Linked DNA regions of Notamacropus eugenii. The protein of the gene in region 1 purifies or fractionates together with the protein of each later gene. This does not show direct contact. Links are inferred from orthologs where the notes say so. Each region holds a gene or a part of one and is shown in the gene's direction. Other genes may lie near its edges. The genes, in order: MYL6 and IQGAP1.

Region 1 (16,003 bases):
TATCAATCTCCGCCAATGAGGAGAGTCTTATGCAAATGAGTTTTGAACCTGAGTTACCAAAGTTACCTAATATGAGGCAGGATTCAAATTGGTCTTCCTGACTTAAAGCCCAGCATGCTATGTGCTACAGGAGGAGACTGTCCAGACAAATCACTGGCCTGGGAGCTAGGGAAAGTAGGAATTCAAACCTGTGTCCTCTAATTCCAAATATTTTGCCCTTTTCACTATTCCACCTGAGCTACTTCTCAAGATGGGCAAGAGTTTGGTGAGGGTGGGGGACAGGGAAGGAAGAATTTGAGACTCCCATCCCCTCATATAGAGCTGTGTGGCCTTGCTCATGTCACCTAACCTCAGGTTGACCTTAGATGGTCTCAGCTCTGAATGTATGATCCTAAAAAAAAGTCCTTTCCAGCTCTTGATCCTATGACTAAGCTTCATTCTGAAACTGTAGTAGCCCCTATCCTGGGACACTGCTTTTGGCTGGGACTTGGCGCCAACTTTACTGGCCACTCTGGAAAGTCTTTCCTGAAGTCTAACTTCCTTCCCTCTAGCAGTACCTTCAGTCTTTTCCCTCTCAAAGGTTTCTCTCACCTCCAACCTAGAGGGAACTCACCCAATCTAAGTGGGAGCCCTGCTGGGGTTTGGGGGAGACCATGGAAGTAAGGTAGTGATACTCCTTGGAAATTAAGACCCCTGGGGAGCCAGCGCACTAAACGTTTAAGTCAGTGGTATCTCAAGTATGTGGAAGACAACTCACTAGGCTGTGGGAAGAAAATACCAGAACTTAGGAGCAGCTCAGCTGTGCCATGAGCTTGTAGATCCTACTGGCTTTGGGGACTTTACATCCTCCCTTTCCCAGGGAGGGAACAGTCAAACATCTGCATTCCTGGGCAAGCAGGCAGGTAGGCAGATAGGTATTTCCCACCTGGATGCAGGCTGAGTTTACTCTTAGCTAGAAAATCAGCCAGGGTCCTACCCACATCTACCAGCAGGTTCAGTTCATCTCTATCCTCCCTTCCTAGCCCTGGCTATAGCAGCAGCTGTGGGCTCCTCATATGTTTCCTGACCTGAATACGCACCACTCCAGGACCCTGGGGTCTAGGCTTCAAAGAAAGAACCTGATTCCTCAAAAATAGGTATCCCTACAAAATGGATAGCTAGGTAATTCAGTGGGTAGAGCCTTGGGCCTGGAGTCAGGAAGACCATAGTTCATATCTGGCCTTAGACACTTACAAACTTTGTGACCCTCTATTTTCCTTAATCCACTGGAGAAGGAAATGGCAAACCATTCCAGTATCTTTGCCAAGAAAACCTCATGGACAGTGCTGATGTGCTATGGTCCACAGTTCACAAAAGAGTTGGACACAACTGAGCAATAACAACAGAATGGATAGTCAGGCAGCCAGGCTAGGGGTAGGGGAATGTTTTCAGAGAATGTTAACTCCTGGCTGCTCACCTTAACTTTCTGCCCCTAGTCCACCCCTGAGCACACATGCACCTACTCATAAGAGAGATTGCACAGGAGCAGACACAGAAAGTATAGGATCAAGGAGCAGGTAGCACCAATAACCAATGGTGGCAGCTGCCTGTGCACTCAGGAATCAAGCACTGGAGTACCAGTCTTGGATCTGCAGTTCTTCTCCCATCAAGACCCTCCCCGAGACCACTGTATGCCATAATACAGCTTGGAAGCAAATGAAGAAGCCCTATAGGAGACTTTTGCCCTCTCCCTGCCCCTGCCCCCTTCTCCCCTACCAGGAAGAGTTATAAGAACCTTACCACTAGAGACCATGTCCTTCCCCCAACCCATTAGGGAAAATGGAAATCTACTGGTTGAATTTCATTATCAGCAACAACAATCCTTTACATAATTGGTGGATTGTATTGAAAAATGAACACTGATTCAGGAAGCAACTCACATTACACTTTTTCCATTGGCATCATTGTATCATTGTGAAATGTCTTTTCAGTTGTAACCAAGTAAAAACGTAGCAAAGTGATGAGACGGATAGCCTTTTGGACCTAGAATAAAGAAGATCTAAGCTGATACTCTTTCTCAAACACTTAGTGGCTATGTGACCTTGGGCAAGTCCCTTGAGCTCTCTAAACTTGATTCCTCATTCTAGCACTTACTTCATAGAGTTGTTAGAAGGATTCAGTAAGATAAAACCATATGTATGAAAGCTTTACAAACCTTAAAGTGCTATATCTGTATTTACTATTATTATGAAGAGATAAAGTAAATTTAGAACCAGACCTTGAAAACCACTATATTACTAAGAGGAAGAACTGTGTTTGGATTTTGTTTTGTTTTGTTTTTTAATATCCCCAGCATTTAGCATAGTACCTGGAACAGGAGTGAGGGATCTTTGGCTTCAAGACCACACGTAGCCCTCTAGGTCCTCGAGATTAGCCTTGGATTCAGTCAAAGGGCTCTATTTGAGTTCCTAGAGGGCCACATGTGGCCTCAAGGCCACTGGGGAGTCAGTAACCTGACCTGGAACATAGTAGGTGCTTAATAAGTATTTGTTGATTGACTATTAGATCAAAATTTTAAAAAGAAATGAAGTTCAATCACATTACTCTCACTAAAATGATCATAATACATAAATAATTTTTTAAAAAGTTGGTTATTTGATATTTATCTCATTCTTGAACAACTCCTGTTCTTTTTGAAGGTTTCATTATGTATAGACTATTAGTAAGGCAGTGGATATATATTATGTATAAGTAAGTATACATATATGAGGGTATATTCAAATTTTTTTGCATAAGACAGGTGATCAAAAAAGTGTGAAGACCAACTGTTTAAAGGTTTAAATGCTGAAAGTCTGCAACTATGCTTTCAGCAACCATTTTAAGAGAAAAGAACTACATTTTCCATGAGGTCCAGACATAGGCTGAGACTACCACTCCCAGAATCCTTTGGGGATGGGCAGGCTCAGAATTAACCCATAAGTGGTCTTATCAGAACCACTCAGTGACATAGGCAATTTAAATTTAAGGGTGGCGTTTGGCTCTGTGGCTAGGACTAGATTAGATTGAATCAATCATTTCCTTGAATCCATCAGAGTTATTGTGTGGGAGACTGGGTTACACCCTTTACTCACCTTTGCACTAGCTTTAATCTGCTTTTGATGAATAGAGAATCTGACGCTTAGGAGAAGGGAAGTAACTCAGGCAACAGAGCTGGGAAAACTTGGTGGTATGGTGGAAAGCACTGAATTTGGAGGTAACAGACATGAGCTGAAATCCTGACTCTGACACTGGTCAGTTGTGTGCCCTTGAGCAAGTCATTTAGTTTTCTGGGCTGATTTTCCCTTGTGTAGCCCCACTTACTGGTAAGCCAGTTTGATGGCACTTGTACTCTTCCACTTCAGTTGTGGACTCACTTTGGAGGACCTGGGTTCAGTCCTGTGGGAGCCTGGTCTTTTTTCAGAGAGGAGTCATGATCTTTTTGTCACACTCTTTCTTTCCACCCCCAAACCGAGAGCCTAAGGGGAACTCTCTTAAAACTTGGGTTTGGCCCATGTCTAGAGTCTCCCCAAAATATGAAATGGAAAGATACTCAATAGATATAGGACAGCTATTTATTTCCTCCACAAAAAAAAATATGCTAAAAATACAGAAGATTCCAGCCTGCGCTCGAATTCGAGATTTGACCTTTTGGACCTCTGTTAGTATTAGATCTGAGGGAATTCAAACATAGATTCTTGATGGTATCCTTCTCTGAACTATAGTCTCAGAGGTGACCATTTCAGGATTTCTCCATCTACTTTTTAGAGTTACCTTAGTTTCCTTATCTAAAACATGATGAATTTTCAACTGAACCTTGTTACTCTCCCCATCTCTTTCCCTCTCCCTTGGATCCCATAGGGATCAATACCTGCAGCACAGACCTAGGTGAGGGTGGAAGTCCATGTTGCCCCTGTGTCTGGTTCTGGCCAGCCTGGAGTCAGGGGGTAGGGTAGGGTAGGGTTGAAACTGGTGTGTGAGAAATGAATAATGGGGAGGCTCATTAGGATTTCATTCTTGGGTTCACTCAGGGATGGAGAATTAGCCTTTCTTCCTGACTCAGGACCCTGCTACAGCCTCTTGGCACCAGAAGTCGTTCCAGACCCTTTTCTGTAATACCAAGGCTTGAGTGTATGTTAACTTTGACCTCCATCTGCCTTTGCCGGCCAAGGGGATAGTGTGTTGGAGCACAAAGCCCAGCCTCCCACACTGTCCTTTCTTTATCCTATTTCCCTCCCTCCCAATTTGCTCCTTACCATATGTGGTTCTGGAGCCGGGTAGGGGCAGGAGTGTAAACAGCTGGGATTAGGGGTGATGGATACTGATACCCCACTTCCAATAGCCTGATCCTTGAAAAGGACTTTGGGGAGGGGGAGGAAGTGAGTCATAACTTCACCCTCAACTGTGAATTCTTCCCTCCTCCCAGATGCATCCCACTCCTAGTCTGCAAGAGATTAAGATTTCAGGGGGAGAAAATGTTTCTCCCAGAGGAGAGGGGGTGCAGGGGTTGAAATGTGTGAGTTCTCTTCTGCCTTAGCCTTTCCTCTATCTGTGACTATAAATCTGAGATACCATGGTCCTCTCTGTTGGAGTGATTCCTGCTCACCCAAGGGTGAGACTTTTCATCTAGGCACCCAGTTCCCCATCACCCCCATTCCCTTATTCTCAGAGGGGGCAGTAACTTGGTAAAATGCCTTGGGAAATGTGGGCAGAAAGACAGAGACCTTGGGGCAGGAGGCCCAGAGTGAGGGAGGCAGGAGAGGTAGAGGGCAGGCAGGCTACTTTGTCTTTGTCTTTCTCCTCCACCTCACCCCCCCCACCCCAGTCTGGTCTCTGCTCCCGCCCCCTTGATATCCCATACTACTCCCTGGCTATTTAAACTGAGTGCCCCCTCCGGGCACTGTTCTTGTGCCCGTCATCCATCATTCACCATGGCTCCCAAAAAAGACGCCCCTGTGAAGAGGCCATTGGGACCTGCTGCCCCCAAACCTGCTGCCAAGCCAGCCGTTGCCCCTCCAGGGAAGCCCAAGCCTGAACCAGCTGCTCCCCCTGCCTCAGCAGCTCCCACCAAACCCCAGGAGTCCCCCATTGACCTCTCCAAAGTGGTGGTGAGTCTCTCAGCCCACAAGGGTCAAGATGAAGGGAGGGGGGCAGGGATGGGAGAATGGGGAGGCTTCTTTAGGAGGAAAGGATTTGGAGAAATGATGAATGGTATAAAGGGGCATGGAGATGGGATAGGGGAAATGGGGGAGGAGCTAATGGAGCTGCTATAATGATGTGAGGATTGCCTTAGCCCCTCCCATAACAAACCCAGAAGCCAGATACTAAGTCTATAGAATGGGGTTAGCAGGGCTCTGAGGCCAGGCACCCCAATTCTGCTGTTCCCATGTTCACTTTTCCCCTCTTGCCGCGTCAATGTGGCATATAATGGCACCCCTGTACACCTTGAATGGAGAACAGGGATGTGGGGAACACAAGAATCTGGGAACAGAGATGCTCAGCTCCTTGGGACTGTTTCACAAGAGAGAGAAAGAAGGGGCCAGTGTCCATCAGAGGGTGGACTCTTCAGGGCCTAGGAAAAGAGGCTGAAAGAGAGGGAAAGAGCCTGCTGCTCTGAGAAGGGAGGGTGGGGAGGGGGACTTGTTAGACAATCACAGCTGGGGGTGTGGGGGTAAATTTAGCTTTTGTTCAACTGCCGGTTATGTGAGGGATGCAGGGTTGGGAGAGCCAGGGGGAGGGGAACAGGTGGTGCTGGATTAGCCTTGTTTCCCAGGAAGGTCTCCCTCCCACATACCCGCTGCTAGTATTCTCCTAAGGCTTGGAGCTGGGAATGGGACTCAGGCGCTCTTAGCTCTCAGCTGGGTCCCTTTGGGCCACTCCACAGAGGCTGCCAATTATAAGGGATGGGGGAGGGGGTCTGGCCTGGACTGGGGGTTTCATGGCACCCCACCCCTCTTCACACTGTCTTTTCCTTCACAGATCGAGTTTAACAAGGACCAACTGGAGGGTGAGGAGACCATAACCACCCACCCCCACCCTGCTATCCTAAATCCCTTGTCACAGTCTTGTCTTTCTGTCTCCCTATGTCTTTCTCTCTCTCTTTCTCTTTTTTTTACAGCCCCAGAGCTGCCCTCCACATTAGTTCTGTCCTCAGAATTTCTTCCTCCTGCTGTATTCTACCTTAGTCCACTATTCTGAGCCCTGCTTCCAACCTGGGGATAGAGGGAACCCTTTGGCTAACCCCAATTCCCTCCCCATTCCCAGACTTCAAAGAGGCCTTCCAGCTGTTTGACCGAATAGGAGATGGGAAGATCTTGTACAATCAGTGTGGGGATGTGATGCGGGCCCTGGGCCAGAACCCCACCAATGCTGAGGTGCTCAAGGTTCTGGGTCACCCAAAGAATGATGGTGAGACTGCAGGAATTATGAGCCATAACAGGGAGGATGGTAGCAGGACAAAAAAAGAAATGATGACCAAGGGCTCACAAGTTGTTGTTAAGTACTCTAAGAGTGAGTTGAGTGGGGCTGGTCTGGGTACCCTTACAGGTAATACTGGAGGTGGGGATGGTTCTTTGCCATAGGTAGGGATTTTGTAGAAGCAATTCGGTTCAGATAGGGGTTGGACTAGATTCAGGGGTGGGGAACCTTTGGCCTCAAGGCCACATGTGGCCTTCTAGGTCCTCAGGTGTGGTCCTTTGACTGAATTCAAACTGGATTGTGTTTATGATAATAAAATGTAAGGGATTAATGAAAAACAGACAGACAAACTGGAAAGTGACAGAACTGGCTAAGGTTCATAATTATTAGCTCAAATGAATTGATGAATGTCACTTTGTCATGGGTGTTCAGCCATTCCAGTCATGTCTGACTCTTTGTGACCCCATTTGGGGTTTTCTTGGCAAAGATACTGGAGAGGTTTTCTATTAATGTTCAACTAGGCAGAAGCCAGAAAAGACCCTTAAAAAGATAAGACAAAAGTATTACTAAAAGATGAGAATAGCAGTGACTCCTCCAAATATAGTTTAATGACATATTCATATACCGTATATAAAAGATTTATAATGTGTCATAAAACACAATCTACATGCACGTACAGTAAAATTCTATTTGCTAAAAAAAAACAAACCAAACAACAAACAACCAGATAGAACTAGAATGATACAGATGGGTTAAATGGGATGGTTCTAATGGAACTATCTACTGGCTAGAGATCCCAAGTAATGAGGGTTGGATAGAGGAGTCCTAGGAAGGGGTCACTTAGCACACTCTATCCCCCCCACCCCTCCTCAGAGCTGAACTCCAAACGTGTGGACTTTGAGACCTTCCTGCCCATGCTCCAATCAGTGGCTAAAAGCCGGGACCAAGGCACATATGAAGACTATGTTGAAGGACTTCGAGTGTTTGATAAGGAAGGGAATGGTACAGTCATGGGGGCTGAACTCCGACACGTCCTCACTACCCTGGGTAAGATTGTAAAAAAGATGGCTCATGAGTGGAGGAGAAGTTCACTTGAGATTAAAGGGTAAGATCCCAGATTTTTGGAACTGAACAAGGGAAGAGAACAAGGTGCAGCCCAGGTGCAGGCGTGGGCTTCATGGTCATTGTGGAGGGTAGGTATGTTATGGGAAAGAGGAAGGCAGGGCAGGCATGGCAATTGGAAGTGGCCATTTCAGTCCAGTCTAGGCAAGGAATGACATTTCCTGGAAGGGACATATTTAAAGAAGCAAGAATAGTTAGGAAAGTAGCCAAATTGGGGAAGACCCCAAACTCCAGGGAGCAAGACCTAGGAAATTTCTTAATGTTCTGACAACCTGAAGTGTAGTGGGAAAGTGATGAATCAGAAGACACAGCCTCCAATTCTTCTGCCACTGATTGGCTGGGTGGCTTTGAGAGAGTCACTTTCATCTTTTGTCCTGGAGACAATGAAACCTGGGCTTCCTAGGTATTCTGCTAGCATGAGTGAAGTCATTTTGAAGAAAAGCAAGGTATCGATAAATTTGTAATAGGGGGCATGGGACTGGGGAGGAAGGAGGAAAAGGAAAGGAGAGAGAAGGCTAAGATGCCTCTGTTTGGGGGACTAGATGAGGAAGTACCACTCCTAAATAGTATGGCTGAAGTTGGGGTGGGAGGGAATAGGTTCCAAGTTTATCTGCTTCTGCTATAGGAGAGAAAATGACAGAGGAAGAGGTAGAAACCCTCCTGGCTGGACACGAAGACAGCAATGGTTGCATCAACTATGAGGGTGAGAGGGTGGGGAGGAGTGGAAGTAAGAGGTTTGGAGAGTATGTGTGTGAGTTGGGAGAGGCAGTCGTCCTGGGGAGTGGAGAAATCATCTATACTCCAAGGAGGGAGGGCAGAGCAGGGGTGCATGGTTCTGACCCCCCTCTTTCATCTTCCTTTGGCAGCCTTCCTGAAACACATTATGTCAAGCTGAGGCCCCAAGGTAGAGTGATTCCCCAGCCCAGCCCAGCCCTATCTCCTCAGCTCCATCCCTACCTTTTGGGGGCTTTGGAAGCATTAAGATACCCTGGAAATATCATTGAATATGGACTCAAGCCCTTGGGTTCAGATGTCATCTCTGCTATGAAGGGCTTGCATGGTCGTGTCATTTCATTCCCATAAACCTGTTTCCTCCTCCGTAAAATGAATGACATTTACTCTGTCAGTCTCTCAGGGTTGTTGTGAGAACCAACTATTAGTAGGTGAAAGTGTTTTAAAGGAAAGCAGTAAAGAATGTAAATGGAAGCCGTTTCTATGACTTTTGCTTTCCCTGGGAGAGCTTATGTGCAGCTCCTCTTTTTCCTGAGGGATAGGAGGTGGGGGAGCTGTGAGGGACCGCAGTGCACTAGGTACCCAAACCACCCCAACACCACTCTCTCTCTCCAGATCCTGCTTCTCTCCAGTCAGAAAGAAGGTTTTCCTGCATCCTGGGGAGATGAAAGTCTGGTGCCTTGCACGTAGTAGGCGCTTAGTAAATGTTTGTTGCCTTGAGAATGGAGAAGGAGCGTGTGGGAGCGGACAGACTTGCTGCGTCAGTCCCCCTACCCTCTCTTGATTTTCCGTAATAAAGCAATGGACTTCCAGCTTCTGGTCTGTTATTTGGGGGGCAGGGGAAGGGGGTTTGTGCCTATGTGTAAGATTTCATCTTACTCTTTCCCTCCCTGCTTCTCCCCCACCCCCTTGGTCCTTGGACCAGGTTTGGTGGAAAGAGTGCTTGAGATTTAAGCCTGGTTTCCGGGGCCATTTACTGTGCGGCATTAGGGAAGGCATGGAACCTTAATTTAGTTCAGCCATTTAAACCATCATTTCCTTCTCTGTGATATGCCAGTCCTCCACCTTCCAGGAGAAGTTGGTCCGTCCTTCCTGGTGTCTAACCTCCGTAGATCATAGGACTGGTACGACCAAGGACTGGAGGTCTAGTCCAGCGCGGACCAGGAAGAAACCGAGGCCCAGAGAATCTGGTGACTTGGCCAAGGCTACGCAGTTTACACAGAAGCGGCTATGGGAGGGGGAGTGAAGGCTCTGGAGCGCGTCAGGGGCTCTGGGTTTGAATCCAGCCTCCGCAGGGCCCAGAGATTCAGTCAGATCCCCGAAGCCGAGGCCAAGTTCAGGGCTTTTTCCACTGGCCCCTCCAGCCCGGGCTGCTCAGCAGGGGGGAAGGAGAGCGCATAGCTCCTGGGCTTCTGATGACACTCCCAAAATAGGAGTAGCTCTCATCCCACTTTCTCCTCCCCCTCCCTCCCCGCCCCTGCGCGTCCGGAAAGGCCGAGGCTCCGAGCGGCCTAAGGAAGCTCATCTGCATAAACCTCAGGCCCGGCCTCCAATTGGCTAAATCTGTAGAGGGTGACGTCACGGGACGCGCTAAGGCAGATTGGAGCCGGGCAGGGAGACGGAGCCATTACATTGAGCAGCGGCGGCGGTACGGGCGAGGGAGCGAGCGCTGCACGGCCAAGATGGTGGGGCCCGGCCCGACGGGGAGCCCGGGGGGAGGCCCGGCCCGAAGGGGAGCCCGGGGGCAGGCCCGGCCCGAAGGGGAGCCCGGGGGAGGCCCGGCCCGAAGGGGAGCCCGGGGGCAGGCCCGGCCCGAAGGGGAGCCCGGGGGGAGGCCCGGCCCGACGGGGAGCCCGGGGGGAGGCCCGGCCCGACGGGGAGCCCGGGGGGAGGCCCGGCCCGACGGGGAGCCCGGGGGAGGCCCGGCCCGAAGGGGAGCCCGGGGGAGGCCCGGCCCGACGGGGAGCCCGGGGGGAGGCCCGGCCCGAAGGGGAGCCCGGGGGCAGGCCCGGCCCGAAGGGGAGCCCGGGGGAGGCCCGGCCCGACGGGGAGCCCGGGGGGAGGCTGGCTCCGGGGGGACGGTGGCGGGGCGCCCGGACGGGGCGTTGCGGGGGTCCCTTTGCAGAGGAGCTGCGGCTGGCTCGGGGAGGGGGAAGCCTGGAGGCTGACCTCTCCTGACCTGTCCTCCCCTCTCTTTGTTGGGCCGCAGTGTGACTTCACGGAGGATCAGACCGCGGGTGAGTGGCCCCTGACCCGCCCCGAAGGGGGAGAGGGGCGTAGGCTGGCCCTCCTGGCTGCGGGGACCTCCCTCCGGCATCCGCACCCCGGGGTGCCCGGCTCCTTCCTCCTCCCGGTTTCCTCCATTTTTCTCTCACTCCGTCTCTCCGATTCTCTGTCCTCCTCCTCCTTCTCCTCCTCCTCTCTTTAGATCTGAGCCCCGGGCATTGGGTGAGTTTGTTTTCGGGGGTGGATGTGTGAAGCCTTGGGCTACCTAACCCCTCGTGTGCGCTGTGATGTTTTGGGGGGGCTGTTCGGCCGCCTGCCCCTGCCTCTCTCCCCATTAACCCACTTCCGTCCACTCTGCCCTGGTTGCTGGCCCAGACCTGGGGGAAGGGCTGAGGACTGTGCCTCTGGAAGGTGGGGGCCCGGGAATTTGAGTGGGAAGGAGCGGGCCCCCCGAAGACCCGGCAGAAGCTGTCTGGTCGTGGATGGACGGGAAGCCCAGTCCATTTAGGGAATGGGGACGAAAAAACTGGCCCTTTTGGGATGTCCTGAGGCCGGGGCTGCACCTACTTCCTTATAAGGATTGGAACCCAGGCTGGGCGGTGGCGCATTCCACCCCCGGGAGTAAAGGCGGGGCTCCGGGAAGTTTGAAGTGAGGGAAACTAGAGGGGTGTTAGGGAGATGGGGTGCCCCCAGCTCAGGCAAGGATCAGGACGCTTACATGATTATGTGGGTCCTTTGGGCAACCTGATCAGAAGTGAAACCAGATGCAGCCTGGTAGTGTTACCTACCCGGGAGTATGTTTTCTCCAGACAAAAGTGAATGCGTCCAGAGCTCTGGCTTGTACTTGGGATATCGACCTCCATTTCGGACACTCACTCCTCTCTTGTCCCCCCTCTAGAGTTCAAGGAGGCTTTCCAGCTGTTTGATCGAACAGGGGATGGAAAGATCTTGTACAGCCAGTGTGGGGACGTGATGCGAGCTCTGGGCCAGAACCCCACCAATGCCGAGGTGCTCAAGGTCTTAGGGAATCCCAAGAGTGATGGTGAGAGAGGGCCCCCAGGTTGACTGGGGGTGCACTTAGGAATTCTCTTAAGAATGCTGTCCAACCTATCTATGGAGAGCTTAGTGTATGTGGGGGTGCCCAAACTGTACAAGGTTCCTTTTGGCAATTGTTGAGGGCAAAATGAGTTTCCTGCTTGAGGTGGGAGACGACAGATTGTTAGGCTGTTTGATTTTGTAGTTTTACCTCAGCTGTTTTGTTTGGCTTATGGTTGCTGTTACAGAAGAGGGTTCTGAAATGTTGTGGTATTATACTGGAAAACGTATGATTCAAAAAAAAAAAACCCAAAAGAAAATACAATCCAAAATGAGCCAATGTAATGGTGATGTGGCTTCCTTCTCAAGAGTCCCTCAGCCCAGGGAATGTGGGAAATAGCCATTCTGACCTGATGCCACTAATGTTAACCCCCCCCTTTTTCTCTGGCACAGAGATGAATGTGAAGGTGCTGGACTTCGAACATTTTCTACCAATGCTGCAGACCGTGGCAAAGAATAAGGACCAGGGCACATATGAGGACTATGTGGAAGGGCTTCGGGTGTTTGACAAGGAAGGGAATGGCACAGTCATGGGGGCTGAAATACGACATGTCCTCATCACCCTGGGTAAGACCTCCTTCCACCAAATCCAGACCTCTAGGTTCCCTCTAGTCCTTGGGAGTCCTTCCCTATTGATTCCCTGAGAGGTCTGGTCCCCTCCACAGGTGAGAAGATGACAGAGGAAGAAGTAGAAGTGTTGGTGGCAGGGCATGAGGACAGCAACGGTTGTATCAACTATGAAGGTGAGAGGGGCGTGTTCAGCATTTTCTGGGAAGGATTTAGCAGTGTGGAAAGTTGAGGCAGGGTCATTGAGCAGTCTGTTGGCATCAAGCGCCTCCTTGGTGCTGAGGATATAAAGACAAAAAAGAAAACCCCGCTGCCTTCAGGAGAACCTCTCTTACAAGTCAGTGCAGCTGAATTAATAGCACCCCACTCTGTGCAAGGAGTTGTATCTCCAGGTGGGCTGATGGCTCGGAAAGCACTTTGGAGGCAGGCAAGGGGCAGAGCTTAGCTCTGATTTGGGAGGTTAAAGACAGGGCAGGAAGAGAGCCAGGTGTGAGGGGTGGAAAGTATCTAAGGAATAGAATGTCTCCCCTCACATCCCTGTGTGACACCCCACCACCCTATGTCTGTGTCTTGTCTTCACCATTAATGTCTCTTCCTTCCTGCAGCGTTTGTGAGGCATATCCTGTCGGGGTGAAGGGCCCCATGGGGCGGGTACGGCTCCTCCCAGCCTCTCCTCCCTTTCCTCCCAAGTTGACCTTTCCGTGTCTCCTTCTGGTCCCTTCCCTGCCTTCCCCCTCTTCTCTGGCTATTTGTCCCCTGCCTCTGCCTCTTACCTCTCACTCTCTCTTAGCATGTCTGCATGGACCTGTCTGATTGGGAAGGGGAGGGTAGTCCCGCTGCATAAAGGAAGACTGTCTGGGTATTAGCCCTTCTCCACATGCCCCTCAAATTCTGCCCTGGGCTTTGTGTCTGGCAACTTAGCAGGCCTGGGACAGTCTTGCTTTAGGGTACTATCTTGCCCTTGTCCATAACCCTGGGTGAGGGTTTTGGCGATGGGGGAGGGTTGCCTGGCCAGCTCCTGCTACAGTTGAATCCCTTACCCTTCTTTTTGCTGGGCAGCTTGGAGGTGATCTCCCCCTCCTCCAAAATAAACCCACTGTGTTCTCCCCTTTACCTGCCATGGGTTGACAGTGCCTATAGGTGGTAGTTGGGGGGGAGGGGGCGCCTTCTCTACCTCTGCTGTGTCCTTGCTGCTCAGGGGTGGGATGGAGACTAACAGGTTTTGGGAGGGAAGCTGGGGGCAATGTGGCCAAGTCAGACCTCAGAGGTGGCTCTTCTATCCTGTATGATCACCCCCAGGGCTGGACTCTGGGGGATATTTCCACTCCTGCCACCTTAGGGGTCTAGATGTCCCACCACCCTCAGCTAGCCCTCCCCTATTTGCCTGCTCCCTAGCTCATTCCCATTTCTTTCTCCACAGAGCTAGTCCGGATGGTGCTGAATGGCTGAGAACAAACTCCCCTTTCCACAAAGAACCCCTTCACTTTCTCAGTGTGAAAATCATCCTCTTGCCCCTGAAGCAACTAACTACATTTTCAGGGTTATCAACCTTCTTACTTCCAACCCCCACCATATGTCCTCTTGGGCCTGTTTGCTCTCTACTTTCACCAAATAAACTTGCTCTCTGCTCCTAATGTCTGGTTTGTTCTTGTTCTCTTGGGGTGGTCAGGGAGGAGGCAGGTTATTGATGCCTTTTTTCTCTTTTTAAGGGAAGAGAGGCACAAGGGGGCAAAATCAAGCCAGAGTGGATGGGCCAAGGGTTTAGGCAGAGGAGGGAACCTGCAGCCTTGAGGCCCCATGTGGCCTTCTAGATCCTTGGGTGCAGCCTTTTGACTGAGTCGAAGTTTTACAGAACAAATCCTTTTATAAAGGGGACTTATTCTGTGAAGTATGGATTTGGTCAAAGGGCTACACTTGAGGACCTAGAGGTTTCTTCACCTCAGGGAAACTGAGGTGGTCTCAGCTAGCTGCCTTCAAATAGGTAGAGAAAGGAAATAAAACCACATCTCCTGCCATTCCTGTCCCCAGCAGTTGTTATCACCAACCTCCCCAATGAATAGATAGCTGCAGATGAGCCTCATTTAAACTGGGCCAACTATGTCAACCATTCTCAAGTCACAGCACAAGGAAGACTGAGTTCACCTATCTCCTAATATGGGAAAGACAGAAGGCCCCTAGTCTCTAAAAGGTTCAGGGAAATTAAACTTTGGTTTGAGAAACTACCCAGGCCCTGAAAAGCTAATCAGATCTGTAGCTTTGTCTACAGGCCAAATATCTTCTGCCCTGGGTGGCCAAATATCTTCTGCCCACCTTTATTATCTCTTCTGAGAACTTCCGATTTCTCCTCCCAAAACCCTCATCTTGGAAAGTGGAAAGCTTCCAACAAAAACTTTAAGTAAATTCTCTATCCAGTCCATTCCACTTCTGCCAATTAATGAAGTCAAGTAACACAACACAGCAGGAACCCACCACAAGGTGGAAGTGAAAAGCAAATTAATTTATAAAAAAAAAGGAAAATTTACAGAAGACTTAACAGAAGGTGCTGAGCCACAGAAGGGAGAGTAAGTGTGGGTACATTGTAAAAGGGCACATGGAACAAAGGGCCCAGGTGGGAGGAGACGGTGTGGAGAGGGATGCTGGCTCCAGGAGGAGGGCACGTTGAAGTCAGGTTTGTCTTTACATCCAGGACGAATCAAGGAGAAGAATTTGGAGAGTGGAGAGAGCCAAGAGCTCTAGGTTGTACACCCCCACTTCCCTCCCTGAACCCCCTGGTTCCAGAGATGATCATTTGTGGAAATGAATGTTTCTGGTGGACTTGATGGGGGAAAGGGTTTGAGATCATAAAAGGGAGGTGCTTAAGTGCTTTTTTAAAATTTCGTGTTTTAAAAACATTCCATCTTCTGCCAACTCTACCTTTCATTCCCTCTGGGAAAGTAATTTATTAAGTTTAGGGAGCTTGAGATACAGACTCCAGTTCCCTCTGCCCTACCATTTACTGAAGGACTCTAAACTCCCAAAGTGTCTATTCCCTGCCCCACCCCACCCCCACACACATACACACACACACACACACACACACACACACACACACACACACACACACTCTCACCATATACACTCTAAGCAGCCAATTAAAAAAAACACATACACACACAAAATTTGACATTTAGAGGAATTTGCCTAGCTTGGGACAGGAGGGGAAAGGTGGGGAGGCCTAAAACAGTGACATTATCTGAGGAAGCAGCAGCAGAGTTTATTCTCAATGATCTGGGGAGAGGACTGAATTGATTACTCCAAAAGAGTTGGGGGTGGGGTGTGTGCTGAAGCTGGGGAAAAGGCAAGGAGCCCAGAGGCCACTGACTCCCCTCTAGAGTTCACTCTAGCACTCTTCACCGTTCCTGTTTATCAGAACCACCTCAACTTTTTTTTAATTTGAAGAAGGGAAGGGGGAAAAGCTTTATGTGTGGGTTTCCTCTCCCATTCCTTCTTTCCCTTTAGAAGTGTTTTTGAATTTATTATCTTTAAAAAAATTCCACAAAGCTGCAATATGAGGGGGATATACCCCTAAGAAGTGGTTAATTAGAACCTGGTATAAATACCCACACCCAGTACCTCCCTATTAGCCCCTCTTCTCTGATACAGTATTCTCCTATCCTCTTCCCCAGACGTTAGTAATCTCTTTTAAATAAAAGTCTTGATACAATCAGATAGAAATGTTGTGCCTTTGAGGCACAAACCGACACAGTGGGAAATGGGAAAGGCAGACTTTCCTTACGTAGTGATGGGTTGTCCAGGCTGGGGAGAGGTCCAACTTGTAAAGGGGATGGGG
Region 2 (16,801 bases), on another chromosome or scaffold:
TACAATCAGGATAACACAAGATCTAGCAACTTCAACATTAAGGGATTGAAGGGCATGGAATATGATATTCCGGAAGTCAAAGGAGCTAGGATTAAAACCAAGAATCATCTACCCAACAAAACTGAGTATAATACTTCAGGAGAAAAAATGGTCATTCAATAACGCAGAGGACTTTCAAGCATTCTTGATGAAAAGACCAGAGCTGAATTGAAAATTTGACTTTCAAACACAAGAATCAAGAGAAGCATGAAAAGGTAAACAAGAAAGAGAACTCAGAAGGGACTTACTAAAGTTGAACTGTTTACATTCCTATATGGAGAGATAATATTTGTAACTCTTGAAACTTTTCTCAGTATTTGGGTAGTTGGAGGGATTATACACACACACACACACACACACACACACACACACACATACACACGTATATAGACAGAGGGCACAGGGTGAGTTTAATAGGAAGGGATGATATCTAAAAAAATAAAATTAAGAAATGAGAGAGGAATATATTGGGAGGAGAAAGGGAGAAATGGAATGGGGCAAATTATCTCTCATAAAAGAGGCAAGAAAAAATTTTTTCAATGGAGGGGAAAAGTGGGGAGGTGAGAGGGGAAAAAATGAAGCTTAGTTTCATCACATTTTACTTAAAGAGGGAATAACATGCACACTCAATTTGGTATGACAATTTATCTTACATTACAGGAAAGTAGGGGACAAAGGGATAAGTGGGGTATGGGGGGATGACAGAAGGGAGGGTAATGTGAAGAGGGAGTAATTAGAAGTAAACACTTTAGGGGAGGGACAAGATCAAAAGAGAGAATAGAATAAATGGGAGGCAGGATAGGATGGAGGGAAATATAGTTAGTCTTTCACAGCATAACTATTATAGAAGTCTTTTGCAAAACTACACATATATAGCCTATATTGAATTGCTTGCTTTCTCAGTGAGCATGGGTGGAGAGGGAGGAAGGGAGAGAAGCTGGAACTCAAAGTTTTAGGAATGAATGTTGAGAATTGTTTTTGCATGCAACTGGGAAATAAGAAATACAGGTAATGGGGTATAGAAATCTATCTTGTCCTACAAGAGAAGAGAGAAGATGGGGATAAGGGAAGGGAGGGGTGTGATAGAAGAGAGGGAAGATTGGGGGAAGGGGTAATCAGAATGCACAGTGTTTTGGGGTGGGGGAGGGGAGAGATGGGGAGAAAATTTGGAACTCAAAATATTGTGGAAATGAATGTTGAAAACAACAACAAAAAAATAAATTTAAAAAAAATCTGAATCCAGAAAAAAAGGTACTAAAATTGTGATATCTCACCCCCACCCCAAAACTTTATTTTCCCTCCATTATCAGCAATCTTGAGAATCAAAAACTCATTGCCCTCAATAAGATGCCACTTTCAGCATGGACCTCCTCTCTTCTTGAAAAAAGTATTCAGGATATATAGATGGTAGTAGGGATCACATGTCACAGGTGCCCTAAGAATAACATGGTTACTGTGGTTAGGTAACCCCATGTGTAGCAATAAATAAGGAAGAAGGGATAAAAGAGAGGAGAGAAATTCAGGAGTGTGCACCTTAAGACACAGAATAAAAACCACTCCTCTTTTTCTAATCCCCAGGTTTCAGGGTCACAAGGAAACTAGAGTAGGAGGAGATGATTCACATCAAGTTATTAATGGCTCTCCCCTCTTTGGGCCCACGGTCATAGATAGTACCATCAGTTAATAATAGTTTGGACTTTCCAGGGAGAGTCCATTGCTTAGCTGCAAATCTCCTGCTTGTTGCTTGCCTCCACAATAGTGCTAGATAAATATCTCTTTATTCTAGAATATGTTGAATTCAAATTTCTATCATCTACCCAATAACACATAAATTAAGATTAGCAATTGCTAATACAGTTCATGTATCATTAAAGTAAACAGTGGCAAAGAAATAGACAAAAATTGCAGTGGGGAAAAGGGAACTATTGTGGACATATGTTGAGTAGACACTGTCGGCTGCCACAGGAACCAGGGCTTTCCTGCATTAACTTATTCCACCCAGAGAGAAGAAGAGAAGCATAAATTCAGGAAGAGTGTGGCAACTAAGAGTGGCTGCCTTCTTTATGGCTCAGAGCTGTAGGAAGAGAAATTTGTCTTTAGGGCAGTACCCAGGCTGGTTTGCTGTGCTCAGCAGCCACAATCATTCCTGCCTATTTCAGCTATGCTGTTAACTGGGCTGGTTGGCACTGGGTTAGCAATATTTACTTCTTTCACAGTCTTTGAAAGAGAGAGACAAGAGGAAATCCTATGTTGAATGTTTGACTCTGAAAAAGTCCACATAGTCTCAAGATGGAGGCGACCTAACTTTCTACCTCTGGGTCACAGTTTCCTTCTCTCTCTCTCTCTCTCTCCCTCTCTCTCTTCCTCTCTCTCTCTCTCTCTCTCTCTCTCTCTCTCTCTCTCTCTCTCTCTCTCTCTCTCTCTCTCTCTCTCTCTCCCTCCCTACCTCTCTCTCTCCCTCCTTCCCTCCCTCCCTCCCTCCCTCTCTCCCTCCCTCTCTCCCTCTCTCTGCCCTCCCTACCTCTCTCTCCCTCTCTCTCCTTCTCTCTCAACTTGTGAACAATCTCAGAAGCCTTCACATACTTAATGAACTCAGTGGCAGACAGAATCCTGAAGAAGTGGCTAAATCTCTGTGGTAACCCTTTGACTGGGCCAGATTCCAATGCAGAGTTACATCCTTAAGAGATTTCTGTGTAGTTTACAAGTCTCTGGTCTCTGTCTCTGTCTCTCTCTCTGAAGGAAGAGAAAGAGAGAGAAGATGAGTGGAGAGGAGAGAGAGGTAAGAAAGAAGAGAGGAGAGAGAAAGGGATGAGAGAGAGAGGAGAAAAAGAGAAGCAAGAGAGAAGAGAGAGAAAGGGAGGGAGAGAAGAGAGACAGTGAGAAACAGAGGGAGAGATTGAGGGAGGGAGGGAGTAAGAGAGAAAGATAAAGGGAAAGGTTGAGGAGGAGGAAGGCTGGAGATGGAGAGGGAAGGAGAAAGATATGTGGGCAAAAAGCTAGTGCTGTCTTCAAACTTTCCCTCAAAACCTTCATAGATTTGGGATCTCATCTTTCAACAGTGTAAATCACTGCCCATCCAATACTCATTCTGGGTACCTTTTATCTGCATCCTCTAGTAAACTGTCCATGTTCTGGGATCATTCCTCTAAATCTTTTGACACTGTTTTTATAGTATGAGACCATGCAGGTTGTACATTGGTTATTACTCTCATGACATCAACCAACTTATCTCATATTTCTCTCTCATGATGTATGGCCAACAGAATTAGTCCATTTGTGTATGTCTTTTATATACGTGTGTGTGTGTGTGTGTGTGTTGGACAGATAGAGCCAGAATTGAATAGGAGGAAGATAGTAGATTGAATTGTGTTTGGAAATACCCAAATCAGAGATCTCTCTTTAGAACTGTAATATTCTTCTAGGGATTCAGTATGACTGTAAGTCATGATATACTATAGTTTCTAAATAATTAAAATGGGAAGTTACCAAAAAGCAGGATAGTTTACAATATATGAACAATTAAGATTTGTGTAGGAGAAGTGGCATAAATCTATACTGGTCCATTAATGATGTCTGAGTGTGCAGAATGAAAAGAAACATTCTGCTCTGGGTTGCATATTCTGGAAAGAAAATGTCATTAGCTTTTTCTGTCCCTTGTTGCTCTCTCCATTTGTAGCCAACCTTTCTTTCATCTCACTCACCTCAATGGGCCTGGAAGGAATACTAGAATACTCTTTATTTTTTAATGGAACTTCTGCCAAGGCCAGACAAGCCAGCTTGGCTGAAGCAGCAAAGCATCCTAAGAAAGAGACAGGAGAGGGCATGTGCCAGGTTGGTTGAACCATTACCATCATGTTAAATACCATCTTTCCTTGGATCAGTGTGGAACTAGCCTAGCATGCAAAGCTGAAGAACCCTGGGAATTGCAGTGTCTCTCAGTCCCCCCATGCTAATTCCAGCCTGGTCCTTAATGCCATCATTAAAGGGAACCTTTTGGAGAGAAGGTTTGCTCGTCTTACCACCAATAATAACTGCTGACCAGTTGCAACCAATAAGCAAGTAATCTCCAAAGCCTCAGAAATAATGGTACCATTCAGACTATCAATCCTGCTACCAGTCAAGTCCCTGCAGCCATTATCCAGGGGAACAAACCTAGCGGAGATGCAACTTGTCAATTCTCTCTTCAGGTGCTGATGCCAAAGCTCTTCCTCCTTAGTAGCCACAGCTACTAATACACTGAAAAGAAAGTTCTCTCACCAGAGTCCTTGGCTCTGTCAAATTGTGCAATGTCAAAAATGTATAATTTATTCAATGGAAATAACATGGAAGAAGATGCAGTCTCATCTGTTTTGCTTCTGTTCAATGATATTTTCTATCTTACCTGCAGCTGAAACCCCCTATGTGTCTTCTCCCTCCAATAGGATGTGTGATCCTCAAGGACAGATACTGTCTTGCTTTTCTACTTGAATCTCCAGCGCTTAGTACAATGCTTTACATATAGTAAGTCAAAACTTGATAAATGCTTTTTCATTCATTCATTCATTCATTCATTCATTCATTCATTCATTCATTCCTCTGATGTCTTCACTCAGCAATTTCTCTTCCTATGAGGTTTCCTTCATCTATCCTTATCACTCTGCTCAATCTTCATTGTGATCATCTACCAGCTTATCACCCTTTGCTCAAGTACCTAGTCTTCTTTTATCCTAACTCGTCCTTATCCTTTGTAACTTTGACATACATGTCTCTTCATCAACCTCTTCATCTTCAGTGACCTCTATCTCCACTCTGTCTAATCCACTCACACTTTTTACCTCACTAGAATAGCTAACATTTACATAGGATTTAAGGTTTGCAAGCTACTTTACATATGTTATCTCACCAGTACTCCACACTTGGTGATTGCAGTCTCCTGTCCTTCCATTTCTACCTTTGCCTCACTCCTGAAGCTCTTTGTCTTTACCGATGACTTCCAGTCCTTCCATCCTTTCCTGTTCTTCTACTTCATCAACCCCTACCTGTGGTCGGTCTCACTTTCCTCTCTTCTCAGTCTTGACCCTAGGCTCTAGCTAAACTAACATATTTGCTCTACTCTGAACTCAAGGTTTTCTCTTCCACCTTTGCACAGCCTTTCCCCTCTGTAATGCACTCTGTCTTTACTTCCGTCTCTTAGAATCCTAAGATTTCTTAGCACATAAAGTTCTTGAAGATAGAGACTTTCATATTTGACTTTGTATCCTCAGTAGTCTTTCCTTGTATCCTCATAGTGTCTTTCTCATTGTAGATGCTTACAAGATTTTGTCCAATGGAAATAGCTTGACCCTGTTCAGTGTTTTCTTTGATCTCTGATCAGACCCTGGCACAAACCTTTTTTGCTCAGGAAGGTTCTTTTCTAGGGTCCCAGTGATTGCTCTACCTCACCAGTACACATGATCTCCTTCCCCTTATGGATTCTATTGTGCTTTACTGTCAGGAAACAAATTGTTTCCACCATAGCTGGCAGAACTCTGTGTGCACCACTGTAAATCTTCAAGTTTCTGTAGAACTAACAATGCTCTGGGGAGCACTTGTAGACTTGAAGGAAGTCTGTAAGTAGCTCCGGAAGCTGGGTGGAGTTGGCAGCTCTATGTTCTCGTGGTGCTACAAGTTCCTCAGATCCTTTTGCCAGATGATCAGAAGATTTTTCCATGGATTCTCACTTTAAAAAAAAAAAATTTTAGACTAAAAATCTAGACTTGAGATTTCATTAACTCCAGATGTAGGAATTCTCTCCATTAACACGTCAGAAACTTCTCTGTAACTCATAGTCTGGGTGACCTGCTCCAGGGCCTGAGAGGTAGAGGCATTTGGCCCAAGAAACCACTAAACCAAGGACTAAACCTAGTCCAAATGAATGCTCGGAAGGACCTATTTGTACAAAAATATAGCAGCTCTTTTTGTGGTAGCAAAGAATCGGAAATTGAGGGGATGTCCATCAGTTGTAGAACTGATAAACAAGTTGTGGCATATGATTATAATGGAATACTATTATGCTATAAGAAATGATAAGCAGGATGATTTCAGAAAAGACTAGAAAGACTAACACAAACTGATGCAAAGTGAGCAGAACCAGGAGAACACTGTATACAGTAACAGCAATATTGTATGATGATCAGCTGTAAATGACTTAGCTATTCTCAGCAATACAATGATCCCAGACAATTTCAAAGAACTCATGATAAAGAATGCTATCTGCCTCCAGAGAAAGAACTGATGGAATCTGAATGCAGATTGAAGCATAGTATTTTTCACTTTCTTCATTTTTTCATATATTTTTTTCTTTTTGTACGTTTTCTTTTGCAACATGACTAATATGGAAATATGTTTTACATGACTACATATGTATAACATATCAAATTGTTTACTGTTTCAAGGAGGGGGGAGGTGAGGGAAGGAGGGAGAAAATTTGGAACTCAAAATGAAAAAAAAGAATGCTAAAAATTGTCTTTATATATAGTTGAAAAAAATTATTAAACCTCTTTGCCTCAGAAGAAAAAGAAATCCTCAGATAGGGCCACAAAGAATCAAACATGACTGAACAACAACAAATTCAATTTTCCAAATTTTAAATTCAGTTCCCCCTTGCACTCATTATGTGTGCAATAGTCATTTCAGGTGGTGACTACCTGGGCAAGTTAGAGGCTGCCAAAGACAATCTGTGAAATATTTTATGAGCACACAAACCTGTATATAAATGGGATGTTAGCTGTCATCTTATCCCTGTGGAATACTCAGAGGAAATATGTCTGGTTATATGCCTGTTACGTCTGTGCCACGGCTCTCACAAATATGTATTACCTGGCTTTAGTTTTTAAAAATATTCTGAATACCAAGTGAAATGAGCATTTCCATACACATATACACAATGGAACAGAATAAGAACATGGTACATGGAGCTGATGATCATTATATTGTGTGGCTTGCCCTTCTTTGAAAATATATAATATATTTAACCTTTAGCTTTTCCAGCTTTTCTGTGGTTCTTTCTGGTCTTCATTCAGTTTTTCTTTTCTGCATTTTTTTAAAAGTTGCCTCCATGACCCTCTTTTCTTTTCCCTACACTGTCTCTATGAATCTTTCCCTTTCCACCCCCAGTCTTCCAAATGGAGAAAAAGTTTTTTATAATAGCCCTTGTTATAAATATTCATAATCAAGCAGAACAAATTCTGTCTTACTTTACAAATGCATGTAGATGATATTGTGATTAAAAATATAAATTTATTCAAAAGTGTTACCAGATACATAATCACTTTTGTCAAGCATTTTCTCTATCAATTCATGCTAATAGTTCTACAACTATAAGAGGGGGAGGGGTCGCAATTCAGTTTATTTTTTTATGTTAAAAAGGACCTAAACTAAACATTTATCAGCACACTCACCCTGGGGTGTTCTAGGAAATGTTTTATCACCTGGCTCCTCAAAGTAAAAAAGATATTCAGGGAACACTTTTAAATTTAATTGACATGAAGATTTCTTTCATTATTTTCTTCAGTCTAGACAATTCACAAAACAGGCCTTGATTTGCAGCTGTTGCTGGTTTTTGCTATGTAAATATTCGCAAGAAACATTTCTGGGTCCAGAATGTCCCAGGACAATAAGTACCACCCATCTGTAAGAATTGTCAGGTTCTTTCCTGCTCTGAATACTAAAATGCAAGGTTTTAAACCTGTGTGTGTGTGTGTGTGTGTGTGTGTGTGTGTGTGTGTGTGTGTGTGTGAAAGACCTCTTTACAGTCTAGTAAAACTTATATGGACCTGTTCTCAGAATAATAATTTTAGATAATTGAAGGAAATATTACATTTTAGTGATGAGTGAAAATAAAGATGTAATTTTTCTTCCATACAAGTTTATAGATTCCCTGAAATCTATCCAATGGGGACCAGATTAAGAGTTTTTGCTATCCTATGACCAATAATTAATTTTATACATTATGACACTAAAAATTAATTATTATAAAATATCATATGTTAATGTTAAATATGTATGATAATATATAATTTTAGTTCAGCTATTTTTTTTGGTGGTCATGACTCCATTTGGGGTTTCTTGGCAAAGATACTGGTTTGTCACTTCCTTCTCCAGCTCATTTTACAGATAAGGAAACTGAGGCAAATGGATTTAAGTAACTTGCCCAGGGTCACACCAAGTGTCTGGGGCCAGATTTGAATTCAGGAAGACGAGTCTTCTGATTCCAGGCGCAGCACTCCATACACTGGGCCACCTAACTGATCATATATAATATTATAGTATAGGTCCTATGATCCCGATTCCTTTAGAGAGAGTAATGAGTTTCATCACTGAATAATAATAATAATAATAGCTAGTTTTTATATGGTTCTGAAGCCCTCTACAATATATATGTAATATATATTGTAATATACAATATACATCGTGTATATAATATATATTATGTATAATATACAATACCATATACAATACATAACATTATAAAGCAAAGTGCTTTATGTCTATGGGGTATCCCGAAAGTTTCAGTGCAGTTTTAAACGTCAAAACTTCTGGGACACTTTGTATCATTCCATTTGATGACTGACCTAGAACTAGAAGGAAACTTACAAAGTTATCCAGAACCATCTTATTTTAAGAGGAGGAAACCCGGCGGAGTGGGGCGGTGAATAGTGCTGGATCCCTGACATGAAGTCAGGAGGGAGACCTAAGTTCAGATCCTGCCTCTGACCCCCCTTAGCCCGGTGACCTTCTCTGTAAAAATGGGGATGATAACAACAGCGTTGTGAGGCTCTAATAAGCGAAGGCTTGGAAAGCTCCACTGCACCGCGTGGAGGAGGAGGCTGAGGAGGGGGAGGGGGAATAGGTGAGGCGGATGACGTCATGGGGCGCTGCGGAGGCAGGTGTGGCTCTCCCCCCTCCCTCTCCGCACAGCTGGAATGCGGCTTAGAGCTCAGGCCTGGGGAGCTCGGGGCCTACCCGAAGCCCCGACCCAGGGGAGCCCCGGGGAGGGCTGGGGGTGGGGCCGGTAAGTGTTTAACCACTGTCTCTCCCCGGAAAAAGTAGGGAGGGTGCGCTTTGAAGTTTCTTCTGCATTACGTAAAGCTCCAAGGTGGTAATTAATTTGGTAATATTTGTGGAGCGCTTCATAAACGCCGGTACCCCTCTCCACCATTAGTAACATTTCCTCCATCATCAGCCTCGAGCCCCGCTCGGTGGATTTGCCGCGCCCGCCAATTTCCGAGGGGTAAACGCTCGCACTTTAAATTTAACCACGGGCTCCCCAGAGCCCCCACCCCCAACCCCAGGGGGCGCAGGCGCGGGTTGCGGAAGGCCGGGTCGCCCCCGAGGCATCATAAAGTCAGGCGGAGAAAGCAAAGCCAGGAGAGTGGGCGGACAGAGCCGAGCAAGTTTGGGATGGCTCATCCGCCGTAAGCAGCGCCGCAGCCCATAGAGGGCGGGGGAAGGGAGGTGTGGGCGGGGCTTCTCGGGCCCCGCCTCCTCCGTCGGCCTCCACCTTCTCCCCCTCCCTCCCCCTACGGCTGCGGGTTCGGGGCGGGGCCGCGGGCGCGGGCGCGGGCACGGTCACACCCAGCGCGCCTCCGCCGCTGTCGCTGCCCCTGCCGCGCCCGGGAAGCGCTACGCCGCCTGCCTCTTCCCTCCGAGGCTTCGCCGCGCACGTCTCGCTCTTGCAGCCATGTCCGCCGCGGACGAAGTTGACGGACTGGCGGTGGTCCGGCCGCACTATGGCTGTGAGTCCGGGGTCGGGCGGGGCCGGGAGGGCGAGCCCGGGGAGGCCCAGCCGGCCCAAGGCGGAGGTGGCTCCGGTTCCCCTTGGGGCCGCGCCGCGCCGACCCGGAAGGGCAGGGCGCGCCCGTTGTCCGGGCTCTGGGGCCGCGGCCTCGGCCCCCTCCCCGATCACGCCGGGAGCTGGCCGTCCTGGCACTTCTGTCTGTCAGCTGGAGCCGGGCTGGCCGGGCTCGGGGAGGGGGTTGGCGGGGGTGGTGAGGGTGTGGATGGCCCCCAGCCCCTCGGACCCCCCGGAGGAAACACCCATCCTCCGGTGGAGGAAACTGAGGCTGAGGAGGCCCGCTCGGCAGCGCAGCCCCGTGTCCCGCGCTGGGCGGCTCCGAAGAGCGCTCCCTGCCAGTCCCGGACTGGGGGGCCCGTGAACTTACCTTTTTTAAACCATCTTGCTAAATGTTTCAGTGCATTTATTTCCTTTGTCATCTCACGTATTTTATACATTTAAAAGCAATTTGAAGAAGGGTGTCCACAGGCTCCCCACACCGACGTAGGAGTCCCTAACACCAAAAATACAAATAAACATGAGGGAGAATTGAGAATTTATGGGAGGCACGTTTTGTTGAGTGGAAAAGAGCTCTGGCCGCGTGGAGTTTAGAGACGGGGCATCTTGGTGTGGTGAAGGAATGGGGCACTCTTGGAATCAGGAGACCCAGGGCTCTAACCCACTTCTGCTAACTGTGGAACCCCAGTTGGGCAAGTCAGTTTTACTTAGGCCTCTGTTTCCCTTTTTTTCTAAAATGAGAGAATTGGAGCAGACGATCTCTAGATCACAGGAGCTGTCTCTATTCTGTGTTCTAGGTCTTTAGGAAAGATAAAATGTTATTGATTTATGTCCCCTCTCTCCTTCTGAGGGCCATCACTTCAATCAAAAAATAACAAAGCCAGGGGAAAAAAATCAGTTCAGCAAAACCAGCCAATATATGAAGAGTTTTATGTTATATGCAGTGTTCTGCACCATAGTTTCCCTCCCCTCCTTTCTGCAAAGTGGGGAGATTGCCTTCTCAAAGCTCTCATAGATCCAAGCTTTGTTCTGAAGTGTCCTGAGCCTTTCAGGGCTATAGTTTTCTTTTTACCAGGATCTTGAAAGTAATGAAGGGGAAGGGAAGGAACTTGCTTCCTTATTCAATCTGTCAAGTAATTCTGCTTTCTTAGGGTTTTGGACATTGTTACATCTGTTCTACCAGGGAAAAGGGAGACCCAGCCCAGTTCCCTTTTTTTTCCTCCTGAAAGAGGCCCTGCCCTTTGATGATGTAGGGGTTTTAGTTTCAAGTTATGCACTGGAAATAAGGTTCTTATAGATTAGCTTGTTTCATTAACAACAGTAAGATGCAAAGTCAGATATATGCTTATGTTACTACGTTTTGATAAAAATAATATAGGTGGGGCCCAAAGTCCTTGCAAGAATAAGGTCATTATATTATACCTGGCAACACTTGTTGCCAAGGGGAGTGGGAAGTTACCAAACTGAGTCAGGATCAACTGATCTGGCTTTCTTACATCTCTATAGATGTAAGCTACAGATTTCCATATTTATATAATTTCTCTTATTTTGTAGCTGTCTTGGATAATGAAAGGCTCACTGCAGAGGAGATGGATGAGAGGAGACATCAGAATGTGGCTTATGAGTACCTTTGTCACCTAGAGGAAGCAAAGAGGTAAGGAAAAGGTGGTTGGCAATAAATGGAGACAAGGATCTTGGTTTGTGTGAATTTCTCTTTGGTACTTGTGTCCGTGGGAGCTTAGGTTTGTAGTGAGGGCAAATGAGCTTAGGGCTAATTTGAAGGAACTTGGAAAATCATTTAGTTCAGGCTCCCACCCCTTACAGGACATCTAGATAACTAGTTAAGGGCAGAATTAGGGCTATATTCCAAGTCTCCTCCCTCTGAGATCTGTGCTTTTCAATGCTTAACCATACTTTATTCCCTTCAGAACATTTTCTTTTCTATCCGGTCTTGAACTTTTAGCATAAGAGGTAGCCCTTTTTCTTCTTTTTTCTGTCTTTTTTTTTAGTTTTTAGTGTAAACTTTTATAAGATTTTGAATTCTAAATTTTTTCTATCTCCATTCCCCTTTCCCCAAGACAGCAAGCAATCTGATATAGGTTATTCCTGTGCAATCATATTAAACATATTTCCACATTAGTCATGTTCTAAAAGAAGAATCAGAACAAAAGGGGAAAACCACAAGAAAGAAAAAGACATTAAAATAATATGCTTCAATCTGCATTCAGACTCCATAGTTCTTTCTCTGGATGTGGATGGCATTTTCTATCATGAGTCTTTTGGAATTGTGTTGTATCATTGTATTGCTGAGAAAAACTAAGTTATTCACAGTTAGTTGATCTTCACACAATATTGCTGTTACTATGTACAACATTCTCCTGGTTCTGCTCGCTTCACTCAGCATTAGTTTATATAAATCTTTCCAGGTTTTTCTGAAATCAGCCTGCTTATCATTATTTATAGTACAATAATATTCCTTTACATTCATATATCACAACTAATTGAGACATTCACAAATTGATGGGCATCTCCTCAATTTCCAATTCTTTGCTGAGGTGGACCTTTTTCTATGAAGTCGCTCTTATGTGTGGTCCTTCAGAGGTTTACTCCTTTCAAATTGAGCTATTTTACAAAGCTGTTATAAAAATGTTTCCTAATGCTTACCTATAAGCAGTCACCTCATTCTGGAAGCTATCACTGCTTATGAACAAATTCTCTTTTGTGCATAAATCCATCCATTCACTAAGGCTGTATTATTTGCAGGGCACAGGGGATGCCAAAACAGATTATGACTTAACCCCTCTTTCAGACTTAAAATCGAAGTGGGGAAGGAGAGCCACACAAATAATTGTTGTAAGGGAAAGTAAGGTAAATTCACAGTGCTATGAGAAATTTGAGGAGGATGAAATCACCTTTACTTCAGTGGATATGGAGTTGGTGAGGCAGTAGCTGAATTGAGCATTGAAGAGAGGAATTTTAGAATGTGGAAATGCTCCAGGGAATCTTTTTGGTGCATAGGGGAAAGCATGAGCAAAGCCATGAAGACTGGAGGTGGCTAGAGAAGAATGGAGAATAATAGTCTCCTTTGGTTGGAAGAGGAGAGAGGCAGGATGAGCAGGTTGAACTCAGATTGTGAAAGTACTTGATCAGGATTGTTGATTTCATTTTGTAAGCAAGGGAAAACTATTTAAGGTTTTTGTGTAGAGGAGTAACATTAGCACAGTTGGGCTTTCCCAAAACAGTTGTGTTCATACTTGGGAGAGAAGTCCAGGTAGACCTGCTAGGCAGCACCAAGGACAGAGTTTTTTTCATTCTTACTTGGTGGTCCAGCCCCTACCCAGAACTAGGAACTGCTTTGTGAGACACTGAGTTTTGCAGATCTGAGAAAAGCAGGGTCTCTCTAGGACTAATTTTTGGAGGGCCTGTGGTCTCTGAGTATCCTGTCTTCTTGAATGAATCTATAGTAACATCTAGAAATCTTCAAGTGGAAGTTTGTAAGATGGCTTACGGTGGTGGTCATCGAAGTCAGGCTCCATGAAAATAAGAGTTAAATTACTTAAAGATTGAAGTCTGTGATACCATGAAGGTATGGGTAAAATAAACTAACTCATTCGTTTGTATACTATCAGAAGTGGTGAGTGTCCCATAACATTTGGAGTAGGAGAGGCTTCTTTACACAGTAGGGAGTAAGTGACCCAGGTATAGGCTTATAAAGCTGGAAGTGACCTTTGAGGTAATCTGATCCACAATCTCTTAATTTCATCTTGGAGGAAATTGGGGATCAGAGAGATGAAGTACTTGCCCAAGAAAACTCTCAGGTTAATGACACAGTTGGGACTGGGATGCAGGCTGAAAATATAGCCAGGCCCAGAAGCGTTTCCATAAGTTCGTCTGTTCATGGCAATGAAGGAGAAGCATAGGAACAGATTTCTAACCTTGTAGGCTGGTGTCACTGAGAGAGGCTGCCGTCTTCTCCTGTGAAAACGTATCTTGGTGCCCTGGCTGGTCAGAGCCGGTATAGATTGCTCTTACCTGCAAATAGAAGCTTCAAGTTCATTTGCTGTAGAAACAGTGTTTTTAATAAGAGTTATTAAATGTTGTGTCATTCTTGATAATTACAAGGCATTTTACAGTTATCTTAATTCTTACAACATCTGGGTGAGGGAGGCTGAACAAATACCATTATCCCTATTTTACAGATGAAGAGACTGAAGCTTTAAGGAGTTCCATTACCTACCCAAAGTCACATAGCTGAGAGCCACTGTTTGGGTCCCCAGGTGGTTAGGTTCCCAAGCTAGTTCAAAAAAGCCTGTTTAATTCAGTATAGCTGAAATAGTTTTTCAGTAGACAGTAGTAAAAAATTTTATTTATTGCAATACTAGTAATTCTACTAAAGGCTTGTTTCCATGCCTCATCATGACTGGAGGTGACCGTGGGTTCTCAAAGGTAAAGCCAGTGAGGTACATGCTCTGGCAGAGCCTATCTGTCTGGAAAGGATTTTAATGTGGGTCTAGTGACAGACTGTCATCTAAGAACCAGCCGAGTTAAGTTTGGAGAGATTCAACTCAGAATACTGGCCATCGATACGGAATTTTTTTGTCATTGTTGTAACAACTTGTGAAGCTATCTGTCAAGGAATGGAGGGATTGGAATCAACTTTGGTGGAAGTTAAATCATAGAATTTTACTTACCTTGCATACTGGTGGTTAAAGAAAAGCAGGGTTAATTAGAGGACAGTTAGGAGGTAGATAGAAGTTTTTATAGAGAATCCAAAGGGCATTTCTGGGTATTCAAAGGTGTTTATAGGTTGATTGTGAGGGTTTGGTGTCGTAGGAACATAAAATAAGGTATAGTGGTGGGAGGTACTTTGGAGAACATGTAGTCTAACACCGTTATTTTACAAGGGGAAAAACTGAGGCCTGGAGAGGTAAAGTGATTTGTTCAAGTGTCAAGCTCTTAAAACAAGGTTTCAAAACAAGGCTTTTTTACTCCACGTTCATTACCCTCAAATTTAATTTAAAATTTACGACTTTTTTTGCAAGAAGGCTTATGTGAACTGAGGCAGAGTGAAGTAAACAGCATTATGGAAGCATATCTCCAGTATAGCAAGAACCAAAACAAATGAAACTGAATTCTTGTATTTATTATGATTATGCAGAAGAGAAAATTTCCTTCCTTCTCTCTTTTCCTTCCTCCCTCCCTCTGTCCCTTCTTTCTTCATTCCTTTTCCCCCCCAGAGAAGGTGGATAATGAGGCAGCATTATACTTTGATGTCAGACTCTGTTAATGTGTTGTTTAGTTTTTCTGTAGCATTTTTTCTTTTCTGTTCTTTGTTACAAGGGATACCTCACTTTTTAGGGGAGGGGAAAGGGATATCTTCTGAGATGAGGATGTTATAAAGTCAAAGGTTATCAATAAAAATTTAAAATGTTAAAACTATCTTTCCTATAGTGGAGGCATATTACTACCACTTTTCTTATGTCTGGTAGCGGTGATCACTTATTTTGTAAATGGAACAAAGAGAGGGAGAGATTTTTCCTAGGGTAACTGGGGAAGAGAGAAAGAAGAAAGGAGTCGGGGTATGGGGTATGTGTGTATGTGAATGAGAAAGAGAGACCAACATACACACAAGATCCTGTAACTTACTTAGACCCTCATTAAACACAGGGGAAAAGGATATATGCTTCATCTACTTGAGGGAGAAGGAAGGAGGAGATAGTTCCCATGTATTAGTCATGAGGTGACACAGACAACCCAAGGCAGCTTGATGACTCTGGAGTAGCTTTGGAGTGGGTAAGGGTAGAGAGGTGGGTTGTATTTAATAGGCTTTGGGATATATGAGATGTTAACATCCCATATCTAATGTGCCTATACTAGGTTTGACCTAGAATTCTATGATATTTCTAGTGCACTGATAAGGCCCAGACACTTGACTAGGAATTGGATTTGTGTTTCTTTGAAAATCTGCACTGTTGATTCGTTTTTCTCCAGTAGGCTGTGGTTCTTTAAGATAAGGATATAAATGTGTTTATCAGAGCTGTTGTTGAGAGTACTTCGGTTTTCCCTTGTAGAATTTTATTGTCTTTCCTGTTTGATTCCTGCTTCTCTAAGATGGGGTGTTTTTTGGGTACTGGTACCTCGTTCGGTTTGGTGATGTACCTGTTGTGTCTGACCTTTGACAAATTCCTAATTGTTTCAAGTTGAGGCTGCTTCCTGAACTCCCTGACAGGAAGTGTTTATGCCAGATAGAGTTGGTCCGCAAAGTGAGTCTGGCTGGAGGTGACTCATGATGGTTGGTGTTCGTTTGTTTTGAGTCTTTGTTGCTTAGAAACCATATCTGTAGCTGATTTGCAGGTTGTGCCACTTGGAGAAGAGCAGCATGACGCTTTTGCCTGGCCAGATCGGGGCCCTTCACTGTGGCTTCTGCTTTTACAAAGCCCCTCCAGTAGGGTGAATCTGTGGTTTTGCAGAATGCAAATTAAGGAAACTTTAAAAACTTAAAGTAAAGAATTTGGTTAGTGGTTTGTTTTGAAGAAGAAAAGTTAATTTTCTTAACTTTGGAGCTCACTGTACTTTTATTAATACCAAAAACTGATGATAATTTGCCTTGTGCTATTTGACAGTAGCCTAACTACTAACATATTTGTACATTTTATCTCTGATTTATATTACCAAGAAGCAGTAAAAAGTGATTACCGATTTGTGCAACTATGGATTGTTTGTATCTTGCTGTCAGAGCCATCAAATTGCTGTATAGTTTCATTGATTTTTGTCCATGAGGTTATACTATTGAAATAAAAAAGTGAGAATTTTAGAGTTTTGTGTTAAAAAGCCCTTTTAGCACACTTTGCTCAACCTTCCTGTGAAGAACTGATTAATTTCTTCCAGGTTAAACACTTTCTAGCTTGATGATAACCAAAACTTTTAAAGCTGTTAGAAGTTTTCAGTGTG

Evidence for each region.
Region 2: the proteins of MYL6 (region 1) and IQGAP1 purify together in Homo sapiens (affinity purification with mass spectrometry; 4 studies listed by BioGRID and IntAct, counting the BioPlex papers as one, with this or other methods). This does not show direct contact. The link is inferred for Notamacropus eugenii from reciprocal best matches to the Homo sapiens genes MYL6 and IQGAP1.

The regions. Positions count from the first base shown.
Region 1 is NC_092874.1:231,421,245-231,437,247, forward strand, and holds MYL6 (myosin light polypeptide 6), read left to right. Parts: upstream 1-9,115; 5' UTR 9,116-9,968; coding exon 9,969-9,971; intron 9,972-10,495; coding exon 10,496-10,523; intron 10,524-10,560; exon of another isoform or gene 10,561-10,734; intron 10,735-11,410; coding exon 11,411-11,554; intron 11,555-12,000; coding exon 12,001-12,174; intron 12,175-12,272; coding exon 12,273-12,350; intron 12,351-12,779; coding exon 12,780-12,808; 3' UTR 12,809-12,825; intron 12,826-13,594; coding exon of another isoform or gene 13,595-13,623; 3' UTR 13,624-13,808; downstream 13,809-16,003. Other genes in the region: MYL6B (myosin light chain 6B), read left to right, coding at 4,947-5,123, 5,995-6,022, 6,280-6,423, 7,306-7,479, 8,180-8,257, 8,421-8,449. UniProt on the Homo sapiens protein: Regulatory light chain of myosin. Does not bind calcium.
Region 2 is NC_092872.1:249,255,602-249,272,402, forward strand, and holds the start of IQGAP1 (ras GTPase-activating-like protein IQGAP1), read left to right. Parts: upstream 1-9,500; 5' UTR 9,501-9,739; coding exon 9,740-9,794; intron 9,795-11,404; coding exon 11,405-11,504; intron 11,505-16,801. UniProt on the Homo sapiens protein: Plays a crucial role in regulating the dynamics and assembly of the actin cytoskeleton.